Regions from separate parts of the Mus musculus genome. Here all the other regions are reported to be linked to region 5. The links are microRNA targets in miRTarBase. Many come from high-throughput screens and were not tested one by one. Region 5 holds a microRNA gene; each other region holds the end of a gene's coding sequence.
The links. Region 5 holds the annotated microRNA mmu-miR-297a-5p (AUGUAUGUGUGCAUGUGCAUGU, at 2,052-2,073, shown strand). A microRNA usually pairs through its seed, bases 2 to 8, with sites in the 3' UTR of a target mRNA and lowers its output. Matches are read on the target gene's strand: a 7mer-m8 pairs with bases 2 to 8, a 7mer-A1 pairs with bases 2 to 7 and ends in A, and an 8mer does both.

Region 1 (4,068 bases), not on the chromosome of region 5:
AGGTGTCCAGAACTTAGCTCTGAAAGCCCTGGGGCCCTTGGATATGGCGGAAGCACCTACTCCCGGGAACTCCAGGAGCAGAAGGAAGTAAGGGGTAAGGGGTGGGACAAGGCCCGCGGGGCTAGAGCCCAATCTCCCGGATGCTGCGCCGCTTCCCTTTTGTCAAAGTGTAACAAGTCAAACAAGGTTTCCCTTCTGCCTCTGGCCCAGGCAGCCTCAAAGGGAACACTGCTGCCGCGGACGCTCCCCACGAACGAATGGCATGTCAATTCTCCCTGCTCCAGGGGCTCAGGAGGAGCCTAAGGCGCCTCGCCAGGGCTGCCCCTTCTCCACTGGCACTACCTCCCGGCCCCGGCCCGTACTCACCGGCCACCTCCAGTCTGGGCTCATCGCCGGGGGCGCCCGCCGGGGCTCCAACCCCGTGTGGGAGGCCGGCGATGAGAGACGGGCCGAGAAGGGGAAACCCGAACTCTCGGAAGCGAAGCTGGCCGCCCCGGCTCCTGCCCCGCACTCTCTGGCCCGGCTCCCCCGGCTTCCCGCGCTGACCCCTGCCACTCCTGGTCCCGCCGGTGCCCCAGCGTCGCAATTCCGCAAGCACCTTCGCGTTTCCCGAGCTTTTGGATCTTCTGGCCTGGGAACCCGGTGCCGCCGGGACAATGGGGGGGCTCCTGGAGGCGGCACAGGAACAGCAGCGGCGAGACCGTGGCGGCAAAGGCTGTGGCAGCGGCGGCAGCAGCAGCGACGGCGACGGCGTCCGCCAGGGTAAACGTGGTCCCGTGGCGCTGTATAGACGCACTTTCGCCACGGTTCCTCGCCGGTCTACTGAGGAGCTTGAGACCAACCTGTCGGTCTGAAAAAGATCTCTGGACACCTTAAAGGGCTCAGCAAGCGCCTCCATGTTCTAAGTGGAGTTTCTGGCGAGCGAAAGCTCAGTTTTGGGGAGTCTGAGTCCTCGGGCCGTTTGTGGCGAATCTGCGACTACGGACAGGCAGCGCGAGGCTGGGCGTGAGGAGCCCGCCCTTCTCCCCTCCCCCTCTGCCGCCGCCTGCTCCCTCCCTCCTGCTGGCGCGACTGCTGCGGTAGGGACCTGGCCTTGGTCTCCGAGGAAGGCGACTGGGAGGAACGGGGCGGGAGCGCCGGGTGGGGCGGAGTTGAGGGCAGGGCCTAGAGCCGGACGAACGCAAGGGAGCCGCAGAGGCCCGCAGATATGGTCAGGGGCGGGGCGACGTGGGAAGACTAGGCCGGCGCGGGAGGGGCTTGTGTTTAGGGGGTGGAGCTGCGGGAAAGCGGTGCCCTGATGCGACGACCGCAGCCGGAAGAGTGGGCCCGAGGGGCCCAAGTAACGAAGGGCGGAGCTTTGGGTAAGCCTGGAAGGTGGAGCTAAACTAGGGATGAAGCTACAGCTGGGAAAGCGCACCACAGTGCTGCAGGGTAAGGGCGGGACTTAGGAACGTAAGGGGCGGGGCTTCCGCTGAAATGTGAGACTGAAGGGTGACGAGGCGTGGCCCTAATGAGGGAACTGAGTTTGGGGAGGTTCCAGTGCATTCCAGTAAAACTGTAGGACTCAGATTGGCAGCGCTGGACTACAAGGTTACCGGTAGCTGATTGGAAGACGGTATCAAAACACACAGCCCATTGAATATGACTGACACCTCAAGTGTGATCGTGGGAAATTCTTCTTTGGGTTCTTCAATTGTAAACCTGGAACTCGAAAATTCTGTCAGTTCCTGGGGGTTTCAGAGAATTTGGATGTCAGGGATCATCATTGTCAAGCAGTGCTTGTAGTTTTGTCACTGAAGAGTATGATAGTCTTCCAAGATGCTAGAGTCACTGAGAACGCGGTTTATTTTCATGCGGACTTGGTATTCAGCTCCCTAAAGTGCACGTTTTCTTATGACACGTTTCCCCCGAGAAATGCCAATAAAACCAGCACTCCAAGTTGTTTCCTGGTCAAAAGGGGGGGTCTGGCGTAAAATCGGTGGTTTCTATAAAGAAATGGCTTATTGCAGCGGAGTTTCTCATTATTAAATGGGGATAATATATAGTCCCTCTGTCCCGGGGTTATGATAAGGATTAAGAGAGTTGAAGACTGTAAATTGCCTAATACAGTGTCTGTTGTATAAGATTCGCATGCACAAAGAAAATACAAGCTATTATACTCATCCAGAAAATTCAGAATAAACCAGTAATCGCAGCACTCAAGAGGATTGAATTAGGATTGCTCCAACTGCTTATGAGTTCCAGGTCAGGCTGAGCCATACAGCAAGACCCTATCTAAACAAAACAACCAAAATAAATGAATCAAAGAAGTTATACAGCTTTTTTTCATTATTGAAGGCTTTGCACACACAAGGACAGGGATATATCACAACAGCCGTTTCTTTTTTATTAAAAAACAAAACAAAACTTTTTTTTTTAATGACAAAGTCCAGATAAGTTGCCTACACTGGCCTTGAACTTGTGATTACAGGCTTGTACCACTAGGACCTCACAGTTGTCTTAAAGCTAGCTCTTTTGGGGTGAAGAACCTTTTAGAAAATCTCATGAAAGCTATGGGTCTGTCCTGAGGAAAAAAGTGTTCAAGTATGTATAACAAGTTTTCTTAAAGATTTATTTATTTATTTTATGTATGTGAGTACACTGTAGCTGTACAGATGAGTACACAGTAGCTGTACACCTGAACCTTCATGTGGTTGTTGGAAATTGAATTTTAGGACCTCTGCTCGCTCTGATCAACCCTGCTTGCTCAGATCTTGCTTGCTCCGGCCCAAAAATTTATTTATTATTATATATAAGTACACTGTAGCTGTCTTCAGACACACAAGAAGAGGGTATCAAATCTCATTAATGGTGGTTGTGAACCACAGTGTGGTTGCTGGGATTTGAACTCAGGACCTTTGGAAGGGCAGTCAGTTCTCTTAGCCACTGAGCCATCTCACCAGCCCACACGTTTTCTTACAATATTTGAAATTTTATATAGAAGTGACTGGATGAGTGCATTAGGATGGATGTTAACCTCACTGAAGTTATCATTACTCCCTCACTCTTGATGTGACCCCAGGCTCTGGGTCCCTCAGTCTCCCTCTCCAACACCCATGAGACAGAGACTGCGTAAGATGAGCTTTATTGTTGTCATGAGGCGGTAGGTGGTGATCATGCCAAGCCTTTCTGAAGTCAGGGGGCAAAAAGCTTGTCAGCCAGCACTGATCAACCTAGATGGCCCTCCTGGTCAGGTTCAGAGCTCCAGGTGCCTTTAACTTCCAGCAGTGGGTAGACAGGTAAGCAGACTGCTAAGCATTGGCTATGTGAAGTCCTCAGGGCTGTTCTGGGGCTGGGGTTGGGTTGGGGCTCGCAGGGGGAGGAGGTCGAGGCTGGATGTCCCTGGTGCGCATATAGGAGAGCAACTGTTCAGGAATCTCAGCTAGTACATCCTTGGCCAGTCGGGCCATGCTCAGCACCTGGTTCCCCGATCGGTCAACATAATCTCGGAATGGGACAAACTGGGACAGACAGGAAAGAAAGGTGAGCTTCGGCCAAGGGAGTAGGTAGCACTCAAGTTTCATCTTTGACCCCTAACATTTCTTTCCAACTATCACTATTCTTCTGAGAGTCTCTTTAGCTTCACTGTACTTGAATGTCATCCTTCTGAATGCATCCAATTCTTTGTGTCGGGTGTTGGACATTGAACGCAGGATCTTGTATATGCAAGACAAGCTGCCTACCACTGAACCACATCACTACTCCTGACACCACACTCTTCCCCCCTCCTTTTCTAGAAGCTTCCCTTCGTGTCAACTCCACTCCTCTGGGTTTTCCTGAACTGCCCCCCTTTCACCCTGTCTCTCTATGAAACCCTGGCTATCATGGAACTCATCATGTAGACCAAGCTGGCCTTCAGGGAGATCCATCTGCCTTCTACTCGAGTGCTGGGAAGGAGAGCGTTGAACTTGGGAGCAAGAGAGGGAGGCGTTGGGATTGAGAGGGAAGAGCAGTTTGCCAGAGAAAGGAGGTTAATAAAGGGAGGGCAGGGAAAAGCACCCTCCAGAGCCCCGTGTTTGCCTCTGTCCT
Region 2 (4,068 bases), not on the chromosome of region 5:
AGAACTTTATAAGTGTTAGCAATACCCTTTACCACTGAACTGGCGCCCAGCATGAATGTGTTGAGATAGGGTCTCGCCGTGTAGCACAGGCTAGCCTGGAATTTGCTATGTAGGCCAGGCTGGCTTCAAACTCACAATCCTCCATTCTTAATCTCCTAAGTTCCAGGATCACAGGCACACACCGCGTGCCCTACTTGAAAAAAAAATGCTTTTGTCTGAAAATAGAGGCAATGTTCTGTCCTTCGGTACGTATTCTTTCCTTTCCCTGATTGTATTAGCTATGGTGGTGTCTTGGTCCAGCTCTTAGGAGGAATTCTTCAGACTTCGTAATTAACAATGACTGGGGTAGAAGCTTTGTAAACACTCTTGTCTTTTAAGAGATGTTTAGAGCTTGATTTCTAGCTTGGACTTTCCTTGTTATTCTTTATGTACACGTTAACATTGCAGTGCTCAAGAAAGCGTGGATGCCTGTTTTATTAGGTACTGCTCTTAACAAAGTCATGGGTAGTAGCTTCTACTTAATTTAATTTTATGCTCTTCATTAAAAAAAAAACCTTAGGTTTTACGTCTAGGAAAATTGGATCAAGCCATGTTAAGCCAATCAATAGACAATATAGTGGTTTGCATGTAAGCACTGGGTAAGCCCTCGAGAGCAGGAATTTAAACTCAGCCCTGTGTCTCTCCCCAGCCAAACGTCTCAAGTCGAGCACCAGTTTTGCCAACATTCAAGAAAATGCCACCTGAAGCCTGCAAAACGGGGACTCGACCTCACGTTGTGCCAGTAAGTGTTAGACCACAGCACAGTCGAGAAGAAGATGAGCCAAGGTCGGACAAGTTGCATTCTCACGAAATGTTGGGACTGCAGACCTATAATTTATTCTGAATAAGGGTTCTCAAATTCCCTTTTCCTGAGCACCCCTTTTTTTTTTTTTGAAGATTTCTGTATTTTTAGTTTTCAAACATAGCAATGTTACATATTTTAAGGTATATCTGTTACAATAACAAGTGAGGGCTTTTTTCTCAGGCATATGAATGACTACTGGACACTTCTGATTTATCCTCGTTAGCAGAAGTACACAAAGCAGAAAAGGCTGAGGTCTGCTATTTACACATTAGTCACTGGGAGCCCACTCTGAAAAAGAAACATACTTGCCAAATGGTAGCAGGCTCAGTGATTAACTTAAGTGAATTCCCATTGTAGTATTGTTGTATGTATATACATACATGCACACACACACACATATATATATACACGTATACATAGATGTATATATGTAATGTATACTTAATATATCATACATTAAAATAATGTTCTCTAGTTCCCTGAAGTCCCTTTTGAAACCACTAGTTGATTATAAACCTCCTTAACAGTTTTCAGAGAGTGATTCCACATTATGCATTTATCCTTGTTAAAGGTTTACAGTAACTGAGGTTCTAATATGACTTTTATAAATACTATTTTACATCTTATTTTTGTCTTTATTTAGTAAGTAATTTATAATCACTGGACTGCTTAATTACCTTTGAGGACAAGATGGATTCATCTTATGCCAGGGATTTGCATCATGAATTTCATTAAGTTATTTGGCAACCTGTAACTTGTTAGTAGTTCAAGTCGAATGTCACCCAAGTGTGTCATACTGTGTTTAAATTTGTGATTTTTTTTAATGAAAATTTTATCTTGGAATATTTGGAGATTTGGGGAGAAACAAGGACAAACACAAGAGCTTAAATTTCAGAAAATAGACAGGGACCTGAGGGATGCTCACGGTGAGACAGCTGCGTGGTTTACACTGGAGATGACTCGGTTGACAGGCTCGCACAGGAAGCCTCCCAGTTACGGGAAAGATGAAAGTCACATGACTGAAACGAAATTACCCATCTCACTGTCAGGAAACTAGTTCTTCTTTGGCATATTTCTAGCAACCTTTAAAACCATGCTTGTTTCAGTGTCACTCAGTTGTATTTCTCAAGATGTAGAAGTTGATGGTTTTGTTGGTTAATCCGGTGGAAACGGGCTTTGTTGTAAAGGTAATGAATAGGAAACTCCTCAGATTCAATGGTTAAGAAAATGTGACTCCCTTCACAACCTGTAATTGCCCTACAGGAAGGCAGGAGTGTTTGGGTATTTTTTGTATGTTTCCCACATATGCAGAGTGTGAGAGCAGGCTAGTCTTAGTCCCAGAGTGTGTCACACCGGGTATGTGACAATCAGACGACGCTGTGATCCACTAGATGTGCCGGGGTTCATTGTGCTGTCATTGTTCCTGTCTTGATTTGAAGCACATGGTTGAGGGTCATTGGAAGCCATCTTCATCAGTACATGTAAAGCTTATTTACATGTGCAAAGTGAGTGAAGTGACATATTTAAACTGTGAGTAGCGACTCCTCGGGTACCTTTCAGTACTGTGTGTACAAACCACTGCTTTTGGCTAAGAAGCTGGAGAGCACTTTAACAAGCCAGCCATCTCTGTTCCTGATCAGGGTCTGGCTCTCTAGAGGTTGCATTAGAAATATATTTGAAAATGTGCCAAAGAATTTCATCTTGTGGTCATATTAAAAAAATGTACATAGTTCTGAATCCTGAGGCACATAGGGTTATGTGTGTGCACAAGAAAACCTGTTTTTTCCTTATGCTTTACAATAAAGGAAATAACAAGGAAAATTGTAATGTTGTAATTGAATTTTTATTCTCTTAATTTATTATTATTATTATTGAGACACTGTCTCAATATATAGCCCTGCCTGTCCTGGAACTCACTATGAAGCCTTGAACTCACAGAGATCCACTTCCCTCTGCCTCCTGAGTGCTGGGACTAAAGGCCTGCTCCACTACACCTTACTGTAACTGAATTTTTAATTCACTTAAACACCTTGAGATCAGAAACTTAACATCACACCTCAGTTTTTAAAATTTTGTCTTATTACTTATCTAATGAACCCACGCCCACAGTGACACACTTCCTCCAACAAGGCCATACCTACTCCAACAAGGCCATACCTCCTAATAGTGCAATTCCTTGGGCTAAGCATATTCAAACCACCACATTCCACTCCCTGGCCCCCAATGGATTGTTCAAACACATAAGTCTATGGGAGCCATACCCAGCCAAAGCATAATGCAAAATACACAGTCCAGCTTCAAAAGTCCCATAGTCTATAGCAGTCTCAACAATGTTAAAAGTTCAAAGTCTGAGATTCATGCAATCTCTTAACTGTAATCCCCTAAAAAATCAAAATTAAAAAGCAGATCAAATTATACCTCCAACATCATAGAATATACCTTAAATTCCAAATCATCATGATGAGGAAATACTAAACCAAAGTAAGACAGAAAACCAGCTGGGAAAACTCCAAACTCAGTATCTCCATGTTTGATGTCCAACTCCTTTCATCTTTATTGACTACAACATAATTCTTTCTTTTTGGCTGATTCCAATCCCTGTTAGCAGATTTCCTTTGGAGGTTTCCCACAGCTCTGGTATCTTGAACATTTTGGGGTCACCAAGGCAATTTCAATGTTAGAGATTCTTGTTCAAATGTCTGGGATCCACATAAGATCTTCTGGGCTCTTCCAAAGGACTTGCGTCACTTCTCCAGCTCTGCCCTCTGTAGCACTCTAAGCTCTGGTTGACTCTACTCCACTGCTGCTGCTGTTGGTGGTGATCCTCCCATGGTACTGACATCTCCAGGATGCTGGGATCTTCCACTGAAACTAGGCTTCACCAATAGCCTCTCATAGGCTCCCTTCATGGTGCCAAACCTCAACTTCTTTGCATGACCCCTTCAGTCTTGGGCCATCAACTGCAACTGAAGCTACACCTTCACCAATGGCCTTTCCTGGCCTCTCACTGTGCCAAGCCTCAGCTGCTCTCCATGACCCCTTCATGCCTCTGTCTCCTGGGACTAAAGGCATGTACTACCATGCCTAGGCCTAAGCTTTTCAGGGCCACTATACATCAAGATCTGGACCAAAAGCCTATGTTTTCCAGCCTCAAAATCATGTGTCCTCCATTTCTGTACTATATTTCATTCTAGATTAAAATAACCAGGTAATAATGCCTACAT
Region 3 (4,068 bases), not on the chromosome of region 5:
CTACATTTGTGTACGTTGGGCTTTTTTTTTTTAAATACAATATTTTAAAAGTTAAGGCTATGTTTAAAATTCTCTTCCTCTTTAGCATTCAGAAAAGCAGACTGAAGATGCAACTAAAAATACCAGTGAAAAGTCTTCTACACAAAGAAACATAGCCTTCAGCTCCAATGTAAGTGAACCCAAACATTATTCTTGAAAATTGGGTGTCCGGTATTTTATTATGTAGGCTTTGTGTGTGTGTTGATAACCTCTGAAGTTGATTTCAACTTACTGTCTTACAGAATTCCGTAGCAAAGCCACTGCAGAAAACAACTAAAGCTGCTGTTGAAGAGAAGTCTTCAGGATCACCAAAAATAGATAAGAAAAAAAGTCCTTACGGACTGTGGATACCTGTCTAAAGGAAAACTAAGGGCTGGGGTTGCCAAAACTGCACTTTACTGAGGGGTTTGTGTCCAGCATTAGATCGTCTGCCTGAGTGATCACAGCAGTAAATGTGATTAAAATCCATTACAGAAAGAGACTTAATGGGGACGTTCATGGTTGAGGTTTCTCTTGAAGATAGGAGGACACAGATGACCCAGAGAATTGCATACAGGTGGGAATCTTGTATATATCTGTAAGTATTGTATAGAATTGCTTATATACAAAGGTGAATTTTTTAAAGACACAGTTGTACACTGAATTTTGTATATTTGTTAATAAACTTTTTATTATTTGTCTTGATTTTTATGGATGTTGAATGTGTCTGTCTACATCTGAAGAAGAAACCTTCCTGAAAACAACACAGGGTTTATGAATTCATACTTTGACATTTGTGTGTTGCATTAGGGAGGTTGGACATTGGTTTCTTTTTTCTTTAAATGTGTATCCCCTCAGGGCTGGTATTGGAATATGCCCTAAGACTCCTCTTAATCATCTGTAACTCCAATTCTAGGGGACCCAGCGTTCTGTTCCATGGGATGTGTGACTCACATGTGGGCAAACTTGATACACATAAATAAAAGACTGACCTTTAAAAGACAGCATTAGTTGTGAATGGTAGTTTATGCTTTTGATTTTAACACTTGAAACAAGTAACAAGTAGACCCTTGAGGTTAAAGGCCAGTCTGATCTACATAGCAGGCTCTAGGACAGTGAGACTGTTAAACCCAAATCCCTCCTGTTGACAGTATCAAAAGATCTCATGCTTTAGAAATTAATGGCTTCAACTTGGCTACACTTTGAAAGTTCCCATTATCTTGTTTGGGAATTTGCCAATAAGCGATCCTTTAAAAAGAATATGAATTAGTAACCAACCAGATTAAGGAGAAGTTAGAATCGAGCTTGTCAGGATTGGCAGTGCTAGCATTGCTGTCACCCAAGAGACTGAAAACCCTGGTCTTAGTTTAGGGAGCTTCCACCCCAGGCGTGGTTAGGTCGTGAACACCAGGTGAGAACTCAACCTCCACCTCCCTGTTAGAGTTACAACCTACTAGTGGGTGCCTCAGGCAGGAGGATTTCACCCTGTAAGCTGAGCTTTGTCCAGCGTCTACTGAGAATAACAATATTCCCTACTGGGCAGAAAGTTTCCTGAGCTTTGCCAGGAAATGGGGATGAGAAAGTATTAAGTCTCAGTCCTCAAATGTGTTAAATTGACAGGAAAGCCAGCCTGTGTATTTGCATTTCCCAACAAATGAGCCACTGTCTATTTAAACACTAAATTCCCTGTCATCACAATTTGTAGTGTGACTAGCAGCTGCCTCTTAAGTACAAATAGTAGGCTGGGGATGTAGCTCAATTGGTTAGAATGCTTCCTGAGTTTCTGTGAACCCAGCATCAGTAACAGTATTTTAGCCCTTCTGGAGGCAGCCCAGGGGCCACATACACAAAGGCAAATTTGCTTTTCTTTTTTTCTTTTTGGGTTTTACTGTGCTTTGAGTAAGGATATACATAGCCATGGCTGTCCTGGAACTCATTGTAGATCAGGCTGGTCCTGAACTGGCCTTGAGATCCTCCTGCCTCGACTGTCCTTGTGCTGTTAGTAAAGGTATGAGCCACTGTGTCTGGTTAAGACCACCCAAAGAGTATAGGTGGCAAGAATGCCCCTATCTATCATTAGCATGCAATTGGACTCAGCATCCTTTGAAAACAAAGATTCACCCTACAGAAAACTTAAAAATCCAATCATCTAGATGTGTATTCCTGGTCACATCCCTTTCTTTGGCCGTTCTTTAAGGTAGCAGTGAATCAGTCTATTTCATATAGCCTTGGATGTCCAGGCTTGCCTCTAACCCCTCAGGTTCTGGGATTAAGGGTGTGGGGCACCATACTTGGAATTTTTTTTTTTTTTTTTTTTGATTTTCGAGTCAGGGTTTCTCTGTGTAGCCCTGGCTGTCCTGGAACCCACTCTGTAGACCAGGCTGGCCTTGAACTCAGAAATCCGCCTGCCTCTGCCTCCCAAGTGCTGGGATTAAAGGTGTGCGCCACCATGCCTGGTGAGATTTTGTTTTTTAAAGGAGGAATGAGGAGCTGGAGATGTAGCCTAGTTGGTAAATATCCAGCAAGGTATAGAACATATGTGGTAGTGCAGGTCTGTTATCCCAGAACTCTGGAGGTAGCAGTCAGGATCAGAAAATGAAGATTAGCTGAGGCTAATGAGGGCACAGGTATTTCATCCCACGAGAGGCAGTAGGATCTCTGAATTCAAGACCAGGATGGTCTTCAGTGAGTTCCAGGACGGGCAGACAGTATAGGGAGACTCAAGAAACAAAGACATATTAAAAGTGATTCAGAGGACGACAGTGACAGCAACTGAAGGTGGTGACAGATTTGTCAAGGCATATTGAGTATATGCTAGTTTACATATAAAATTGCAATTATAGAAATGAAACATCTCTGACATGAGAAGATAATCACAGGATGGAGATGGCTCAGTGGTTGAGTGTGGGCTGCTCTTGTAAGAGGCACCGAGTTTGGTTCCTGGCACACATTTTATCAACTGCCTGAAACTAGTCCCAGTAGATTCAAAGCCTGGCTGCTACACTGAAATGCACAGACTGGAGAGATGGCTCAGTAGGTAAGAGCACTGGCTGTAGTGGAAAGATGTTTCCATCCCAGAACCCACATGGTGGCTCAGGACCACCATAACTCTAGTCTGACCTCCGTCGGCACCAGGCATGCAGGTGGTGCATATATGGATGCAGGCTAAAACCCCATACATAAAAAAAGAAATAGGCCGGCTGTAACTTCCTCATTTAGAGGTATGTATTGCCTTCCATTTGATTTGTGGGGATTTTGTGTGCTAGTTAGACTCAACTCACCTGCCTCACTTCTTCCAGCCAAGTAACTCACTCATTTCTTTTAATCCAGAGACAGGATTTTTCTTTTCTTTTCCTTCCTTTCTTTCTTCCTTCCTTCCTTCCTTTCTTTTTCTTTCTTTTTTTTGGTTTTTCGAGACAGGGTTTCTCTGTGTAGCCCTGGCTGGCTGCCCTGAAACTCACTTTGTAGACCAGGCTGGCCTCGAACTCAGAAATCCGCCTGCCTCTGCCTCCCAAGTGCTGGGATTAAAGGTGTGTGCCACCACTGCCAGGCGCAAGCCAAGTTTTATTAAGCTTGAGAAGTAGCTTCCTACAGGGGAGGGGGACTCAAAAGAGAATTGCCCACAGTTTACATTTTTTTCTTGCCAGTGCTTAAGCTTTTAGATATCCCATGTCTTATAGCACTGGCTAGCCTAGAAGTCACTGTGTAGCCTTGGCAAGCCTCATACTTGATATTCTCCTGCCTCCACCGGCTGAGACGCTAGGAGAATGCCACCACAGCCGATTTGTACCCAGCTATTTTTACACGTGGGATGGCTTTTTCATTTCTAAAATTAATTAGTCGTCGATTTTGAAAGGTACACGTTTCATATATCCCTGTCTTATTCCCGAATTATCTTAGTGACCTTAGTAGTTGCTCTGGTGCTGGAATGTGAGAGTGAACGATATGGGGCCCGCCCTGCTCTTCTACAGTTAGTAACATCAGCAAATTATCTACTCTATGGAAGGGACTTAATGCGGATTAAATTCAAGAGAGACAAGGTTCTTTAGA
Region 4 (4,068 bases), not on the chromosome of region 5:
GTCCTGCAACCTTAAACCAGGCACCTTTCCCCATCACTCTGTCCTCATATCCTCACCATCTTCCAAGCCCCGTTCCAAAGTCCCTCTCCAACCTAGGACTCCGGGGATGTGGGTTAGATCTTCTAGGAGAAAGACCTGTTCTCCTTCCTTAGAACCCAACACCAACTTCCTGGTTGAAACAGTTACCCTCCCTAAAGCAGTCTTGGTAGTTTGATTTGGAGGGGTGAAATAGGGTTTCTTGGGCTTGTTCTTTGGGGATTCCGACGCAGAGCCACATTGCTCCCCCTACTTACCTTCTCCATCTCCCCAGGAACAGGGTTGCTTTTCTAGCCCTTATGCACTGAGAGGCAAGCTTTTTGCAGTTTATTTGTGAGAACCCCCACAGCCATCAGTGGGCTTGTAAATGGGCCAGCCAGGCACGCCTTTCTGCCTGAGGTCATCCCAGAGACCCTGGAGATCAGGGGTTCTCTCTTGAGTCCTCCCATCGTTTGGCCAGGCCTCTGGATCTGCCTGTCGTCTACCTCTGCAAACACACGGCATTTTCCTTGTCTCTCCCACTAGTGATGACGACATTGTATTTGAGGACTTTGCTCGCCAGCGGCTGAAAGGCATGAAGGATGACAAGGACGAAGAGGATGACGGCACCGGCTCTCCGCACCTCAACAACAGATAGACTAGGGCCGGCCTCAGCCCGGCAGCTCCAGGTTCACTCTCGCACTCGGATGCTTTCTCGTCTCCTTCCCATTCTGGTTCTTCCTTTTGTTCTTCCAGTTTCTACCAAGGGGCCCCAGTGGTCTTCCAAGTCTCGGTGATGGGCCTCTCGCATCACCACGCCAGCAGGACCACGTCCTCAGCCATCTCTCTGCAATCACCTGCCCACCTCCTTCTCATGCTCATTCCCAGGAAGGCCACACTGCCTGGCCTTGGGATTTGGCTTGAGATGGGGAGCAGAAAGGGGAGGGTGGGGCCTGAAGGCACAATGATGATGGGTGTGAAGATGTGGAGGGGGTGGGCAAGATGGCTCAAGACACACAAGAAGATGTCTGTAGTCCCAGTAGGTGACAGTTTTGGCAGCTAAATGATGACCAGATTGAAGGTGGGAGAGGGCAGGACTGTGAATAGATTCTCAATGCTTTTTTGTGTGTGTGTGTGGTCCAGGGCCACTAGAGACTCCTCCCCCTCCATCCTCATCCTTGGTCCATGCCCCTATGTCTCATGGGGGAGGCACATAGACCCCAGGAATGAAGAGCAGTGGACTGACTTTCTAACCAGATGACACCTAGATTGAAGCAGGCCACATATGTCAGAACTGATAGACTGAGATATCATAGCTTCATTGCATTTTTGTGTGCTGGCACAGAGAGGGGAAGTGGGTGTTTAACAAACACCAGCCCCTAGCAGTGAGCCAAAGCTACTGAGGATGTTGTCTGAGGGGAGTTTAAGTGATAGGGCCGGGTAGGGAGGCATCCATCCTCTTTTGTAGTGGATAGTCCTTAGGGAAACAAGGATGGAGGGACATAGGCAGCTGGAGCCACCTGTATCTCCCAGCTTCCTCTAGTTCTTCTCCAGTGACTGGCCCTGTAAGGTAGGAGAGAGAAAGAGACAGAGGTGCCTGAGGCCATTATTTCCACTGCTAAGGGATCCCGTTCCCAGAAGGTGGCATCCATCCATCCAGATGTACTCCCAGGACGAAGGCAGCTCCTCTCCTAAAGGAGTTGGTTTTATTAGTACCCAGAGTCATGGGTACCCGGTTTCCACCAGGTGGTGTTAGTATGACTTGACCAGGGTGAATCTCAGGGTAACAGGGCATACAAGTGGTAAAACAGAAAATGCTCAAAGATATCCTTGTTTGGTCTTCGATGCTAGCTTGTTGTGTGACCTTGGGCCAGTTCCTTCCCCTCTTTGGGCCTCAGTTTCTTGTTGGAAAAGCCAGGAGGTCGACCAGATGATTCCGAGAGTTTCTTGTTCAAGTTTCTGTAAGTTTGTGGCTCTCAAGAGCTTCTGATCTTCCAGTTGGAGCTGGGGCTGCTAACTGCTCCGTCTGCCTTCAGAAGAGGTTCATGGTGAGGACCCAGGACAGAGCAGATCACTGAGTGTACCTTCCTGCCGAGGCAGGGCTGCTCTTGGACCTAGTCAGCTTATCTGATATCAGGTTGTGGCCAGAGCTTTTGTGGACTTCTCTATCCCAGAGCTTCTGTGTGTGGAGACTTGCATGAGAAGTGTGGGAACAACCTTGGGTTTATCAAACATAATTGCTTGTTAGGGCAAGAGGATCTCATCTCCGTTTCTGTTCCTCTCTCTTAGTTCCACACTTGCCGGAGAAGGGAGGCCACAGCTTGTGTTTGGTTTTGAGACAGCGTATCATGAGGTGTAGGCTAGCCATGAATTCACTACATAGCCGCGAATGACTTTGAATTCCTGATCCTATTGTTTCAAGTGCTGGGATTGCAGGCATGCCCCTGCCACTGCTGGCGCCATGCTTTATTGTACAGATTAGATCCCAGCCATTCTTAGTCCATCATGCCCAGTGTTTGTTGTTATTTCTTCTGGTGAGATGGTCCAGGCCCACTGCTCTGAACCTCCTACATTTCATAAGCAGTCAACTCAAGGAACCTCTTCCCAGGTTAGGACAGCCGTCTTGGGGCAGCCACATTGCCTGGCCAGCTCAGATCATAACTGCAAGCTCCCCTGACATCTAGCCCCTGCCAGAGCTAGCTGGATACTTTTGCACCTATAGAATTGATTAAAACCTTGAACAGTGTAAGGCAAGCATGTGCCCTCCAACTGGCTTCCATTAAAACCTCTGGAGCTGATACCAGACCCTTTAGCATTTGGACTAACCTCTCCTGTCCCCCATCCTTAACTGATACGAGCAAAAGGTCTCCCAATCTGGTTTCTCAGGCTTCCTACACGTCAGCATCCACATTCTTTCCGTTTATCCCACAGATCTACCTGCAGGGGAGCATCAGAGCCCTGGCTGCCTCTTTGTGTTTTGAGCTACGCCTGCATAAGGGCAATGATCAAGTTAGAGTCTAGCCAAACCATCCTTTGATGATAGCTTTGTTCTTTTATGCTGTATACTACTAAGATGGATCTCACCCTAGAATCCCTGTCTCTAGAAACCTTCTGGCCAGGGGAAATCTAGAAGACCGCATTGACGGTTCTGGCTACAGCTAGTCCACACAGTGCCTTGATGTGAGTTTGAATACAGTGTCCTTCCTAGGTGGATTCAAACCCTGGAAATGACACTGTAAGGGGCTGGAATTTGGTGTCATTTGTCCCTACTCCACAGTCTTATGCTGCCATACTGGGTGAGATACACAGGCTCACGTATTTCTTTGGCCTCTTCTTTTCTTGTCGTGCCCCACCCCCATCACATGACATAACCCAGTACTTCTCTGTAGGGCTCTTTTTTGTTCTGGAGTTTTCCTGGCCAGGCAGCACTTGGGAGTGAAACTGGAGGCGGAGGTTTCCAGGCACCATCCAGTGAGATTGGGTTTTCTTGTGCTGACAGATTGGGACTTGGGCCACCAAACAGCCCACATTGGGACTTTCCAGTAGACCAAAGGGCACATGTTAATGCCAATCTGGGCAAGAAGAGCATGCTTTGTAAAAGCTCATCAATTGAGGACGACTGGACTTGCCCAGTACCCCAGCCAAGAGAAGAATTTGTCTCCTAGAAACATAAGAATTGAGATGCTTGGCTGGACCCCATGGCCACTTCAGCTTCAAAGCGCAACTGGCATCCCCCTGGAGGGTAGCTGATTCCCATCTGATGCAGTGAAAGTCCTGAAAGTCCCCAAGGCCACCTCTCAGTCTCTCCTCACTGGAACAATAGCCTTTGTCTGCTTTATTTGAGGGCTTGCTGTGGGTTTGAAGTGAGATGTAGGCCAACTGGCTGCACAGGTGTGGCCCTGTTGCTGCAGGGAGGAGGCCCGAGGTCACACAGGAAGCTTGCTGTGGAATGAGCCCTCTGTTTACCAGTCTTTGTCCCTGTGTCCCAGGTTAGATATCAGCCATGATTATCATCGTGGCTTTGTGGCTTTGCTGATCACACTGGGGAAGAAG
Region 5 (4,068 bases):
TGACTTATTCTTTTAGAGATTATGCAGTAGTGGGACAGTGAACGGTCTCACTCGCCATGTGCAAACATATTACAGATTGAGCAGGGTCGGGAGTTCAAATTCATGCTTAACTTCAGCTGGACATCATCCTGGTATTCATGTGATGCCACCCGTGTATGTGCATGTGTGTTTACGTCCCTGTGTATGCACATGTGTGTATATAAATATACATACCATAAACATACATGTAAATGCAAGCACACAAACATGGAATGGCATTCATTGATACATTTGAATGATGTGTGACATAGAGCTTTAAAGATTATGTAGTATTGGGCTAATGAAACTTTTTACTCACAATGTGAAAAAGCTTCCCATATTCAGAAGGATTAGGAGTTCAAATTTATGAATAACTTCAAAATGGCTTAGAGATCAGCCTGGCTTTATGGGTTCCTTCCCAGTGTATGTTCATGTTGCATAGTTTTGTGTGCTAATGTATGTGTGCATATGAATATACATATAAATACACACAAACACATACACACAGGCACACACACACACACACACACACACACACACACATACACACACACACACACACACACACACACATACCCCGAATGGCACTCATTGATACTTTTAAATGACATGTGACTTAAAGTTTTAGAGATTATGCAGGGCTGGATCAGTGGGTGCTCTCACTCACAAGGTGAAAATGCTTGCCAGAGTCAGGAGGATCAGGAGTGGAAATTCATTCTCAAATTCATGAGTCCAGGATCAGCTTCGGATTCTAGTGATGCCCCCAGTGTATGTGCCTGTGTGTATATGTATGTGTGCATGTGCATGTGTGTATATGAATATACATATACATACACACATACCCATACAAACATGCACACAAACACACAGAAAATTGACACTCATCGATCCATTTCAATGATATGTGAGTCTTAGAGATTCTGTATGACTGGGCCACAGAGAGGTCTCACTCACCAGGTGACGCCCCTTGCCAGAGCCAGGATGATCAGGAGTGCAAATTCATGTTCACTGCATGATGAGGTAGAGATCAACCTGGCATTCATGTGATGACCCCTATGTATGTGCATGTGTGTTTGTGTGTACATGTACATGTATATATATATTGATATACATATAAATACATGCACACATATTCATGCATGCACACGCACACATTAATGGCACTCTTAGATCCATTTGAATAACATGTGACTTAGAGGTGAGAGATTATGCAGTACGGGGACAGTGAGTGTTCTCACTCATCAGGTGTAGACAACTGCCAGAGTCAGGTCTATCAGGAGCTTAAATGCATGCTTACACTCATGAGGACTTAGAGATCAGCCTGTGATTTATGTGATTCCCCCCATGCATGTGAACGTGTGTATAGTTGTGTGTGCATGTGTGTATATGAATATATATAACATCCACACATGTATAAATGCAAGCACAGAAACACACAAACATAGGAATGGTACTCATCGATCCATTTGAATGATATATGACTTAGAGTTTTAGAGATTATGCAGTAGAGGGACAGTGAATGGTCTCAATCACCAGGTGTAAATGATTGACAAAGTCAGGAGGATCAGGAGTTCAAACTCCATTTAGAGATCATCCTGGTATTCATTTGATGCCACCCATGTATGTGCACGTGTGCTTACATGTGTGTGCATGTTCATGAATGTATATGGATATGCATGTGCAGACACACACACACATGCAACACACACACAAACACATGGTGACTTGCATTCATCTACTTGCATAATATGTGACTAAGAGTTTTAAAGATTATGCAGTACTGTGCCCGTGCATGCTCTTACTCAACAGGTCAAAGTGCTTGCCAGAGTCAGGCCTTAAAGGTATGTGACTTAGAGTTTGAGAGATTATGCAGGGCTGGATCAGTGGGTGCTCTCACTCACAAGGTGAAAATGCTTGCCAGAGTCAGGAGGATCAGGAGTGGAAATTCATTCTCAAATTCATGATTAGGTAGGGATCAGCTTCAGATTCATGTGATGGCGCCCCCCCCCCCCAGTGTATGTGCCTGTGTGTATATGTATGTGTGCATGTGCATGTGTGTATATGAGTATACATATACATACACACATACCCATACAAGCATGCACACAAATACACGCAAAATCGCCACTCATGGATCCATTTGAATGATATGTGACTTAGTCTTAGAGGTTCTGTATGACTGGGCCAGTGCGTGATCTCACTCACCGGGTGAATAATCCTTCCAGAGTCAGGAGGATCAGGAATTCGAATTCATGCTTAACTTCATAATGAGTTAGAGATCAGATGCGATTCGTGTGATGCCCACCAAAAATGTGCATGGGTGTATAGTTGTGTGCATATTCATTTCTCTATATGAATATGCATATACACGCAAGCACACACAGGAATGGCACTCATATATCCTTTTGAATGGTATGTGACTTAGAGCTTTAGAGTTTATCCAGTAACGGACCAGAGCTATGTCTCAGTTAGGAGGTGAGTATTCTTGCCAGAGTCAGGAGGATCAGGAGGTCTAATTTATGTTTAACTTCCTGATGAGTTAGAGATCATCCTGGCATTCATGTGATGCCCACCAATAATGTGCATGTGTGTATAGTTGTGTGCATATTCATTTCTCTATATGACTATGCATATACACACATGCATACAAACTCACATACAGGAATGACAGTCATATATCCTTTTGAATGATATGTGACTCAGAGCTTTAGAGCTTATGCAGTACTGGGCCAGAGCTATGCCTCAGTTAGGAGGTGGATACTCTTTCCAGAGTCAGGAGGATACGGAGTTCAAATTCATGTTTAACTTCATGATGAGTTAGAGATCAGCCTGGAATTCATTTGATTGTCCTTGTGTATGTGTATATATGTGTAGGTAAGTGTGCTTGTACATGCATGTATATGAACATACACACACACATACATATACACATAAGAATGGCAGTCATAGATCTGTTTGATTTATATGTGCTTAGAGTTTTATAGAGTGTATAATTATGGGTCAGTGTTACATCTAACTCACCAGGTGAAAACCACTTGCCAGAGTTAGAAGGATCAGGAATTTAAATTCATGCTTAACTTCCTGATAAGTTTGTGATCATCCTGGCATTCATGTGATGCCCACCAAAAATATGCATGGGTGTATAGTTGAGTGCATATTCATTTCTCTATATGAATATGCATATACACACATGCACACACACACACACTCACACACAGGAATGACACTCGTTTATCCTTTTGAATGGTATGTGACTCAGAGCTTTAGAGCTTATGCAGTACTGGGCCAGAGCTATGTCTCAGTTAGGAGGTGAATACTCTTGCCAGCGTCAGGAGGTCCTGGAGTTCAAATTCATGTTTCACTTCATGATGAGTTAGAGATCAGCATGCGATTCATGTGATGCCCTCCCCCATGTATGTGCATGGGTTCATACTTATGTGTGCATGTAAATGTATGTATATGAATGTTCACATACATATACATAAACACACACACTGGCATTCACCTACACGCACATTAGTGGCTCTGATCGATCTATTTGAATGAGATGTGACTCAGAGCTTTAGAGCTTATGCAGAACGGATCCAGGGCTAGTTCTCCCTCCAGGTGAAAATGGCTTCTGTGGAAACCTGACAGCCTGAGTTGGATCTCTGGAACTCAGCACACAGGCAGGCTATGGTGTGATTCTTTTGGTTTTTCGTACACCTGATGATTTTCTTTGAGTTTTCAGATTGCAATATATCTTAATTTAAAATTTATCGTTCATCTGGCTCGGGAGACTGGAATACCTCCCTCATTAATAGCTGTCTTCTCTTTCATTCTCTATGAAAAAGGTCACTTTTAATTGAATGGGGTTAAGAGGTAAAGCTGGGTTGCTCTTAATATTGAAAACATTTCTGGTCGTTAAAAACTAAGAATCCTTTTGCTTATTTAATAATTCTTTAAGAATTTTTTTAAAGTGTTGTTTTTCCCTGTCAACACTTGATATTTATATGATATTAGAGTCTATTTTTGGTGATATCTTTGTCTCCTAACATAATTCAAACTAGA
Region 6 (4,068 bases), not on the chromosome of region 5:
TAGTCACCAGGTATTACCTCCCAGGGAAGTTTGGTGCAACTTGGGACCCAGAACTTTGTTGAGGATTAATACGTAGGCTCAATTAATTCAATGCCTGCATGGTTGGTCTGTGTCTCAAAGGTTACCAACCAGTCCACACACTTCGCAGCTCCCTGCCCTCAGTCACCTCACTAACATAAGATAATATGTAATCAAAGCCGTACTGTAAGCAACAAAGACAAACCTATCAGGACGTGCCAAGAGTTGAGAGATTCCCCACTAAAAGCTAGGACAGAAGTCAAAGTGGCCTTAGAATGGGCCTCAAGATAGGCAGTTAACATTTTTTTATATGTTTACTCATATAGAATATTGACTTTTTGAAATTTTTCTCTCTTCTAGAAATTACAGAAGATATCCCAATGAAGACTTTGAATATGAAGACTGTATATGTTTCTGTCTTGCCAACAACTGCAGATGGCTAACAGCTATCAGTATGCCTTCAGTCAGTCTTCCTTGAATCTACCCATCTCCTTATACACACACTCACACACTCACACTCTCTATGTCTCTCTCTCTCTCTCTCTCTCTCTGTCTCTCTCTCACACACACATACACACACACACATGGGTTCAGTGAAGTTATCTCCTTGGGCACTTGTCAAATATGCTGCTTTTAACCGGCGATTCTAATGGGATTGACTGACTGGAGACCTCACATCATGTTCACATTTAACCTTAAACACCTATGCAGTCATGTTGGGGGAGTGTCCCAATGTTACCTCAACACCACGAAGCTTATTTCTATACTGGAGTTCTTCAGTATAGAAAGTGGAAGTGGTTTAAATGGCATAGTACATATACATATATATATGGCCTTGTAAAACAGATTTGAGACCTTGTGAAGAAATGGATATGTTATATATTTCTGCTACCTGGATTTTCCTGGGTAATTTGATGGAATATTTTACGTTTGATTAAATCAAAACAGTAAACACTCTCTTAGATACTGTGTTGGAAGTAGTTATTCTCCCATAGTTTAATGAAACTTGAAATCTGTAATCTTTGAAAGACTAAATTTAACCACGTCTACATATTAAGACATCGAATGAACATCGAATATTACCTCTTCCCAAAATTCTGGGTCCTCAAAGAAGCAGCTGCCAAGACAAAATGAGATGGTTGTACACTTTGTTATGGCAGTAGACATAAGTAATGGGTGTCAGCAGGAGCAGGTGTTACAGACTCCACACTCCCACAGTCGGACAGGGAGAAAGGGATCTGGGAAAGCCTGGGGTGCAGAGGAGCGTGGATCACAGCAGAGACAACCATTGCTAGAAAAGGAAGGAAGGAAGGAAGCGGGAACACTGGGCGTCTAGTGCTCAAAGGCTCCACTGTACAGAGCTGGGTCTTCATGCCAGCTCGCTCAGGACTTAGGGCTCATTTATAGCATGGACGTTTTTGTTTAACCTTATTTTAAGGGTGCTCTGGTGGAGTTCTTATAAGTACATGCGTTGCATGTCTAAGAAGTATCTGAAGTCTCCGCCCAGGGGTGTGTTTTGGTATTATAATGAGCCTCTGGACTAGGACAGCGGAGGGATTTAGTTTGCTTCTTGGGGTTTCCAGCCATCTTCTTTGGCAGTAGGTTTCTGATCGTTTTGTAACATTTGTGGGAGGCTTTCTTGCCTTCACTCTCCACTCTGCTTTCCTAACTCACAACTCTGTAACAGTCATTGCAAGCACAAAGTTATCAGGCAAAGATTTTATTTTTTTATTTTATTTTATTTTTTTTAGCATGTCAGTTTGAAGGACAGCCTGGTTTAGTGTCCCTGCCTCTCATAGTCAGTGTCTAGGAACAGCTTGAGGTTTATGGCCTTGGCACAGATGCCTCAGTGTATGTTACGGTGCGGTAGCTGAATGCTAGCAGCCAACTCATCAGATTCTTCAAAATGGATTCTTTGGAAAAGCCATCTGAGTGATGCAGGCCCACAGCCATCAAAACACCACAAACCCACCAATTGGACGAGATGGGAAACAACAACAGCTAAAATAGGGGAGAACTGAAAAACGGATGGGTGGGTGACTGAAGTGGTAGAAAAGTGGTGGAAAAGCTCAATTGTAAAAGCAACAAAGCAACGAAAACCTAAGCAATGTCCAGCTCAGAATCCTCAGCACCAGCCGAGAGACTGGGAGAACTGGTGAGTGGAGAAAGCTGGACGGCTTCATCTTCATGGTTTTAGACACGGGCTCCTTGTACGGCTGTGGCTCGTCTGGAGCTGCCTGCCTTGCAGCTCTCTATCACCAGTTGGCTTTTGGAGGTTCCTCCTCTAGAGAAGGCAAGTTTGGGTGTCTTTACTCACCAATTGTGTTATCTGTCACCTGGAGCCAGGATACATTCCTGGCACCAAAGCGTGACAGTATACGGAACATCGGCAGCCAGGAGCCACCACCTAAATAACGGGCACAACCAACTGCTGTTATGATTTATCTCAGTCTAGGTCAGCTGGTACTGCATGACCCCCAAAACTCCACATGACGATTTTTCTGGGGCTGGAGAAATGGCTCAGCGGTTAAGAAAAAGATCTTTCTGATGTGGTTCCCCACCTGCACACACAATTAAGACTACAAATTGGGTCAAGCCTAGCCATAAATCACATTAAAATTATGTAGTATGGCCAGGTGAGCAAACATTCCTAACTAGTATAATGTGTCAAAGGACACATTTCCCCTTTAAACTGGAAAGAGTAGCTTTGTACCATCCACTACCCCAGAGAACAAAAACATCTACACCAGAGGTTACCTTTAAAATCTCACTCTAGGCCAGCAAGATATAAGACTGATAGATTATCTAACTTTGATCCCTAGGACCAACATGGTAGAAGAGAAACTGACCCCTACAAGTTGCCGATGATTATCATATGTACATTGCTACAAATACACAAGAAGTTTGTGTGTTTAATTAAGGCTTGCTCTGAGAATCCTACAATTTAGGGTCAAAGTTTCAAGTGCCATTGGCACTGAATAGGAAATACCTGTACAGAGAAGCGGACAAGAATATCTTGTGGAGTGTGGAGGCATATTCCTTTAATCCCTGTACTCAGAGACAGACAAGTTTATAAATTCAAGGTCCTTAAGAGGTTGTACTATCTCCCTGGTGAGCACAAAACCAAAGCAACTTGAAACAGACAGGACAGTCTTTGGGCTTTCTGCCTTAACTCTTCCCTACACTAAGTAAATCATGGCTTCCGTCTGTCTAGGCCAAAGAGCCACTACAGCATGCTCTGGTGAAAAGCTACTGAAGGAGAAAACAGAACCTTACAAAGCCTGGACTTGGCACAGGTACAGCTGGACCAAACCTCTCCTAAGCCCAAGGCCTAATGCTGTCTTGACAGATAGGATCTCAACAAGCACCCCAAGGGATGGGACACAAACTTAGTCCATATCATCTCAAAGTAGCTTTATGGTTTCCCAGAGAGAATGTACCTGTACCTTGTCAAAAGAAATAAAAAACAAACAAAAACAAAAAATAAAAAACAAAAAGACTAAAGTTGAGCCTCTGCACTTGCAGGCGACCAGAGTTCAGTTCCGAGCGTTCTCATTGGTTAACTCCAAGGTCATCTCAGCACTTACTGGGCTCCTCGGGTACTCACAGAATACTTGCAAACACACAGATAAATCTTAGAAAGTTTACCAATATTGGGTGCCAACATTTAAAATGTTTTATATGCACTAAATTGTTTGTATGTTATTAAGTGTTCAAAAATTATATGAAATTTTGTATATGTAGAGGTTTTTCAAGGCTCTAGTGGTTTGGTGTCTCTACTTATATTGCTTTTCCTGATATTAGATAACAAATATCAGTCAAAATTCCATTTTTTTTTAAAAAGGTTAATATACTTCTTTATGTGTATGAGTTTTTGTCTGCCTGTCTGGGCACCACATATGTGCCTCGTGCCCACAGATGCCAGAAGAGGGCATTGGACTCTCTAGAACTGGAGTTAAAGACAGCTAGGAGCCACCACGTGGGTGCTGGGAAGCAAACTCAGGTCCTCTGGAACAGCAGCCAGGGTTCTTAACCATTGAACAATCTCTT
Region 7 (4,068 bases), not on the chromosome of region 5:
GTTCGTTCGTGTTTTATAGTTCAGGAATGTGATAAATGATTCTTGTATCTCAGAAATGGTTGTTTTAAATTCAAAGATTAAAATGTTTAAATGCTTGCTGTCTTTCAATTAGTGGTTTTAATGTGTTGGCTAAGATTCTAGCTTTATAAAGGTGAGTCATATGCCACAGAATTTACTCTAGAAAGCATAGCTAAGGGGCTGGGGATGTAGCTCAGAAGGTGAAGTACTGGCCTGGCATGTGAAAGCAAAGCCCTGGGTTCCAGCACCAGCGCCACAGAATCCCCACCCGAATGAAGAATGCCTATGATCCCAGTCCCAGGGAGATGGAGTTAGTGGCCAGCTTGAGCCATTTTTGGTAATTAGGTTCACCTGGATAATCCAGAATACCTCCCCATCCCAGAGACCTTAACCTAAACCACATAAGCAAACTGAACCTTGTCATAATAAAGTATGCTTCGACAGTTCCTGAGAACTAGGAACATTAATGTCTTTGACAACTATTTTTCCTACAACCTGTATTTTCTCAGCCAAGGGAATCTAAATTCAATGGGATGTTTCCTTGATAAGGACCAATACACAGCTTCTTTGTGTGCATACCAACCAGGGACAGAACCATGAGCCTTACAAGTACTAAGCACACATTCTACCATTTGTCACATTACTCCCTCTGAACTTGATAAGCATCCAAAAAAAAAAAAAAGAGGGCCTCAATTGAGTTGTAACAGCCCTGGCTATCCTAGAACCCCCTCACACTGTAGACCAGATTGGCTTGAACTCAAGAGATCCATCCACCTGCCTCTCTGCCTTGAGTGCTGTGATTAATGGTGTGCTCCACCACACCCAGCTACTCCCAGACAGGTGCTCCTGGATGTAGGGAAGGACTGAGCAAGGCAGTTTGCTTCAGTCCCTGCTAAGACTTCCTTCATAACCCTTTCCACCCCAAGATGCTTGACCAGCATAGCAACAGAAACCCTAAGGCACCCCGCTCCCGTAAGCCTTTGTATATACTCAAGATTCGAATTCACTCAGAAGGGTGTTTGTTTTTAAGACAGTGTTTCTCTGTGCAGTCCTGGCTATCCTGGAACTCACTCTGTAGACCAGGCTGGCCTCAAGTGCTGGGACTAAAGGCATGAGTCACCACTGCCCAGATCACACTGCCTTTTAAATGGCTTTTGAAACCCCCACCCACTCTTTAGCAACTCCACAAACTTTTGATGTTCTGGACAAAGGACTTAGCCACTAAGATTGTTACCAAGGTTCCCAGTCTTTCACACAGCTAAAACCTGAAGGATCACAAAGTCTGACAAATGCATTTGTCCCAGCCACAATTAAAAGGCATACAGATCCATCCTTGCACTTCCAAAAAGTGATTTATACCTAAAACCTTCAAATTCAGTAACTGTTTTAGAAGTCAAAAACAATTTTATTAGCACCAATCCAATGTGCTCTGTGACAATTGTGCTTGGATGTCTGCTGTCTGGACAGATCTGAAGATGACCCCATTCATATTCTCTTGATCTGTCCCCATGGTACCAAACTCCAGATTCTAATCTGAACATGGCTTCCAGAAACTGGTGTTTGTTTTCTGTGGTAAACTTTTAATCTGATAACCTCCTTTCAATTTCTTACTATAGGGTAGTAAGGCTACACTATATAATTAATGCTCATATTAAGAACAGCATGTTGGAGCCAGGCGTGGTGGCACACATTTAATCCCAGAATTTGGGAGGCGGAGGCAGGCAGATTTATGAATTTGAGGCCAGTCTGGTCTGCAGAGTGATGGCTCAGCAAGTAAGAGCACTGACTGCTCTTCCTAAAGTCCCAAATTCAAATCACAGCAACATCATGGTGGCTCACAACCATCCATGAGATCTGACCCCCTCTTCTGGTGTGGCAGAAGACAGCTACAGTGTACTTATGTATAATAAATAAACCTTAGGGCTGGAGCGAGCGGAGTTGACTGGAGCAAGCGGAGGTCCTAAAAATTCAATTCCCAACAACCACACGAAGGCTCACAACCATCTGTACAGCTACAGTGTACTCACATACATAAATCTTTTAAAAAAATGAAAGAAAAGCATGTTTAAGTGCAGTGAGATAATCTACTATGCAAGCTACTTAATCTAACTGGTGCTTAGACCTCCATCTCATGTGAAGAGATCACTGCTTTGAGACTGTGGCAATGACATCGACTAACATCCAAATCTGGGAAACTAGAGCTGGAAGAACAAGTTCTGGACCTATGGAGGGCTCTTGAGTTTCAATACTGAAAAACATGACTATACTCAATGGTTCTCTGTAACTCCAGACTACAAATCTTAGGCTCCCACCATATAGGGGGGTGAACAGTGCATACAACTCAACTTCACATTTCTCAAAGTTATTTATTCCACCCCAAATGGAGCATGTGGGATTTTCTAATTCTTACTTTTCATACCATGTAAAGATCAAAAGCACCAAAACCCATCAATATTCATGGCTAGTACAGCTTGTAAGAGTGGTTACAGAGAAATTATCCTCTAAGCAAAAGGGTAATGCTTTGGGTATAGGATCAATTATTTTATAAGCAAGCTAAGGCCTACTAAGATATAGGGAATAATTTTTTTTTAAGAGAACAGAGATCAGACTAGATGTAACATGCAATGAAGTAACTAAACTCTGTGTTCACACACATGGAAATGACAAATTTTAACAGACTGTTAACAGAGGAAGTCATGATGTTTGGCCCCCATTGATCTGATCTCCCTCCAACAATGCAGACACAGGACTACATACTAATAGTGCTTGCCTAACATGCCACAGGGCCTGGGTTTTCCAGGATTTCTTGTTCCCCAAAGAACTCTAGCAACTTACTGGAAATTTCAAAAATTATCAAAAGCACCTGTAACTTTACATACTTTGGGATACATGTTAATGGGAAGAACTGGCCAACTTCTCTACACCTAAATACTGAGTCATACATTATAGGTCTCACCTACCATTGCCTAAATGTGTTCAAGGCCTCTATAGCTTTTATTTGGCCTTACTTTTCCTGATGCACCCACAACCCCTGGAAACTAATTTGGAATAGAAAATGCTGGCCTTAGTCTTTTGTTTTCAAAGACAAATATTTTAACTAAAATCAGATGTTTTTCACCAGAGTTACTAACACACCTTAAATAAATCTCTGAGGTTGAGGCAAACCAGCTAGTTCCTGGATATACTGAGACCCTAACATTAAAAGGGGGGAATATAGGCTCAACTCTTATTCTGTAAAAAAGAACATCAATGACACAATCAATTTTCAGTATAATACTTTATTTTCTATTAAATGAAAACCAAGAAAATGTCAAGTTAAGTTAAAAGGCAAACCTTTACCCCTTCAAGAAAAAAAAATACAAACTGTATGTATGATACTTGTATAACAGGTCATATTTTACATTACACAATATAAAACAAAATCACTAGTCTACATTTGTTGCTTGAAACTACACATGAACTACAGATTAAGTGGGAAATGGGTTTACTTTTTTGGTGCAAATAAACATCTTGGAAAAACATACAGCATGCATTTTTCAACTGTATGCACAGGCTCCGACAGAGTCCAGTCTTAATAGCCACCACCACCCCCTCCTCCTCTTCCTTGTCCAAAATAACCACCTCCATAACCCCTTCGCTGGAATCCTCCAGATCCTCTATAGCCCCCACCGGATCCCCGGTAGTCTCCACTGGACCCTCTGTAGTCTCCACCAAAGTTGTTTCTGTAGCCTCCTTGGGAACCTCCTCTATACCCTCCCCCGCCACCACCATAATTCCCACGGTAAGAGTTGGGGCTTATACTATAACCTTCCCCACCACCATAACCCCCTCCCCCACCTCCATATCCTCCACTGCCTCCTCCATAGCCACCACCACCACCTCCTCCATAGCCACCACCTCCAACACCATACCCTCCCCCACCACTTCCAAAGCCCCCACTACCCCCAAATCCGCCACCTCCACCTCCTCTGCCACCACCAAATCCACCACCTCCTCCACCACTGAAGCCTCCTCCACCACCACCAAATCCACCTCCACCACTGCCAAAGC

Region 1: miRTarBase lists Cpne9 as a target of mmu-miR-297a-5p. Seed matches in the 3' UTR shown: 7mer-m8 at 2,627-2,633.
Region 2: the mRNA of Ostm1 is a reported target of mmu-miR-297a-5p. Seed matches in the 3' UTR shown: 7mer-m8 at 1,219-1,225.
Region 3: the mRNA of Rsrp1 is a reported target of mmu-miR-297a-5p. The part of its 3' UTR that is shown has no 7-base or 8-base seed match.
Region 4: the mRNA of Arrb1 is a reported target of mmu-miR-297a-5p. Seed matches in the 3' UTR shown: 7mer-A1 at 1,808-1,814.
Region 6: miRTarBase lists Iars as a target of mmu-miR-297a-5p. Seed matches in the 3' UTR shown: 7mer-m8 at 587-593.
Region 7: miRTarBase lists Dhx9 as a target of mmu-miR-297a-5p. Seed matches in the 3' UTR shown: 7mer-m8 at 3,383-3,389.

What each region holds. Positions count from the first base shown.
Region 1 is chr6:113,303,868-113,307,935 of GRCm38, reverse strand. It overlaps Cpne9 (copine family member IX), which reads right to left. Exons shown (of 21, transcript NM_170673.3): 21 at 2,365-3,500. The coding sequence ends at 3,315. It overlaps Brpf1 (bromodomain and PHD finger containing, 1), which reads right to left and starts at 799. Exons shown (of 13, transcript NM_030178.2): 1 at 599-799.
Region 2 is chr10:42,699,795-42,703,862 of GRCm38, forward strand. Ostm1 (osteopetrosis associated transmembrane protein 1) reads left to right here. Exons shown (of 6, transcript NM_172416.3): 6 at 689-2,668. The coding sequence ends at 744. Among named protein-coding and RNA genes, the nearest start is that of Ostm1, 23 kb to the left of the region's middle.
Region 3 is chr4:134,926,650-134,930,717 of GRCm38, forward strand. It overlaps Rsrp1 (arginine/serine rich protein 1), which reads left to right. Exons shown (of 5, transcript NM_023665.3): 4 at 86-169; 5 at 282-721. The coding sequence ends at 398. Among named protein-coding and RNA genes, the nearest start is that of Syf2, 2.3 kb to the right of the region's middle.
Region 4 is chr7:99,600,537-99,604,604 of GRCm38, forward strand. It overlaps Arrb1 (arrestin, beta 1), which reads left to right. Exons shown (of 16, transcript NM_177231.2): 16 at 562-4,068. The coding sequence ends at 673. Among named protein-coding and RNA genes, the nearest start is that of Tpbgl, 25 kb to the right of the region's middle.
Region 5 is chr2:10,515,026-10,519,093 of GRCm38, forward strand. Mir297a-4 (microRNA 297a-4) reads left to right here and starts at 2,042; the gene lies at 2,042-2,139. The region is part of intron 10 of Sfmbt2 (Scm-like with four mbt domains 2); the gene reads left to right. It overlaps Mir297a-3 (microRNA 297a-3), which reads left to right and starts at 795; the gene lies at 795-896. Mir466l (microRNA 466l) reads left to right here and starts at 1,072; the gene lies at 1,072-1,192. It also overlaps Mir669i and Mir669h.
Region 6 is chr13:49,733,281-49,737,348 of GRCm38, forward strand. It overlaps Iars (isoleucine-tRNA synthetase), which reads left to right. Exons shown (of 34, transcript NM_172015.3): 34 at 379-987. The coding sequence ends at 461. Among named protein-coding and RNA genes, the nearest start is that of Gm23482, 21 kb to the left of the region's middle.
Region 7 is chr1:153,452,480-153,456,547 of GRCm38, forward strand. It overlaps Dhx9 (DEAH (Asp-Glu-Ala-His) box polypeptide 9), which reads right to left. Exons shown (of 28, transcript NM_007842.2): 28 at 3,279-4,068. The coding sequence ends at 3,590. It overlaps Shcbp1l (Shc SH2-domain binding protein 1-like), which reads left to right. Exons shown (of 10, transcript NM_001033162.2): 10 at 1-95. Among named protein-coding and RNA genes, the nearest start is that of n-TIaat13, 4.2 kb to the right of the region's middle.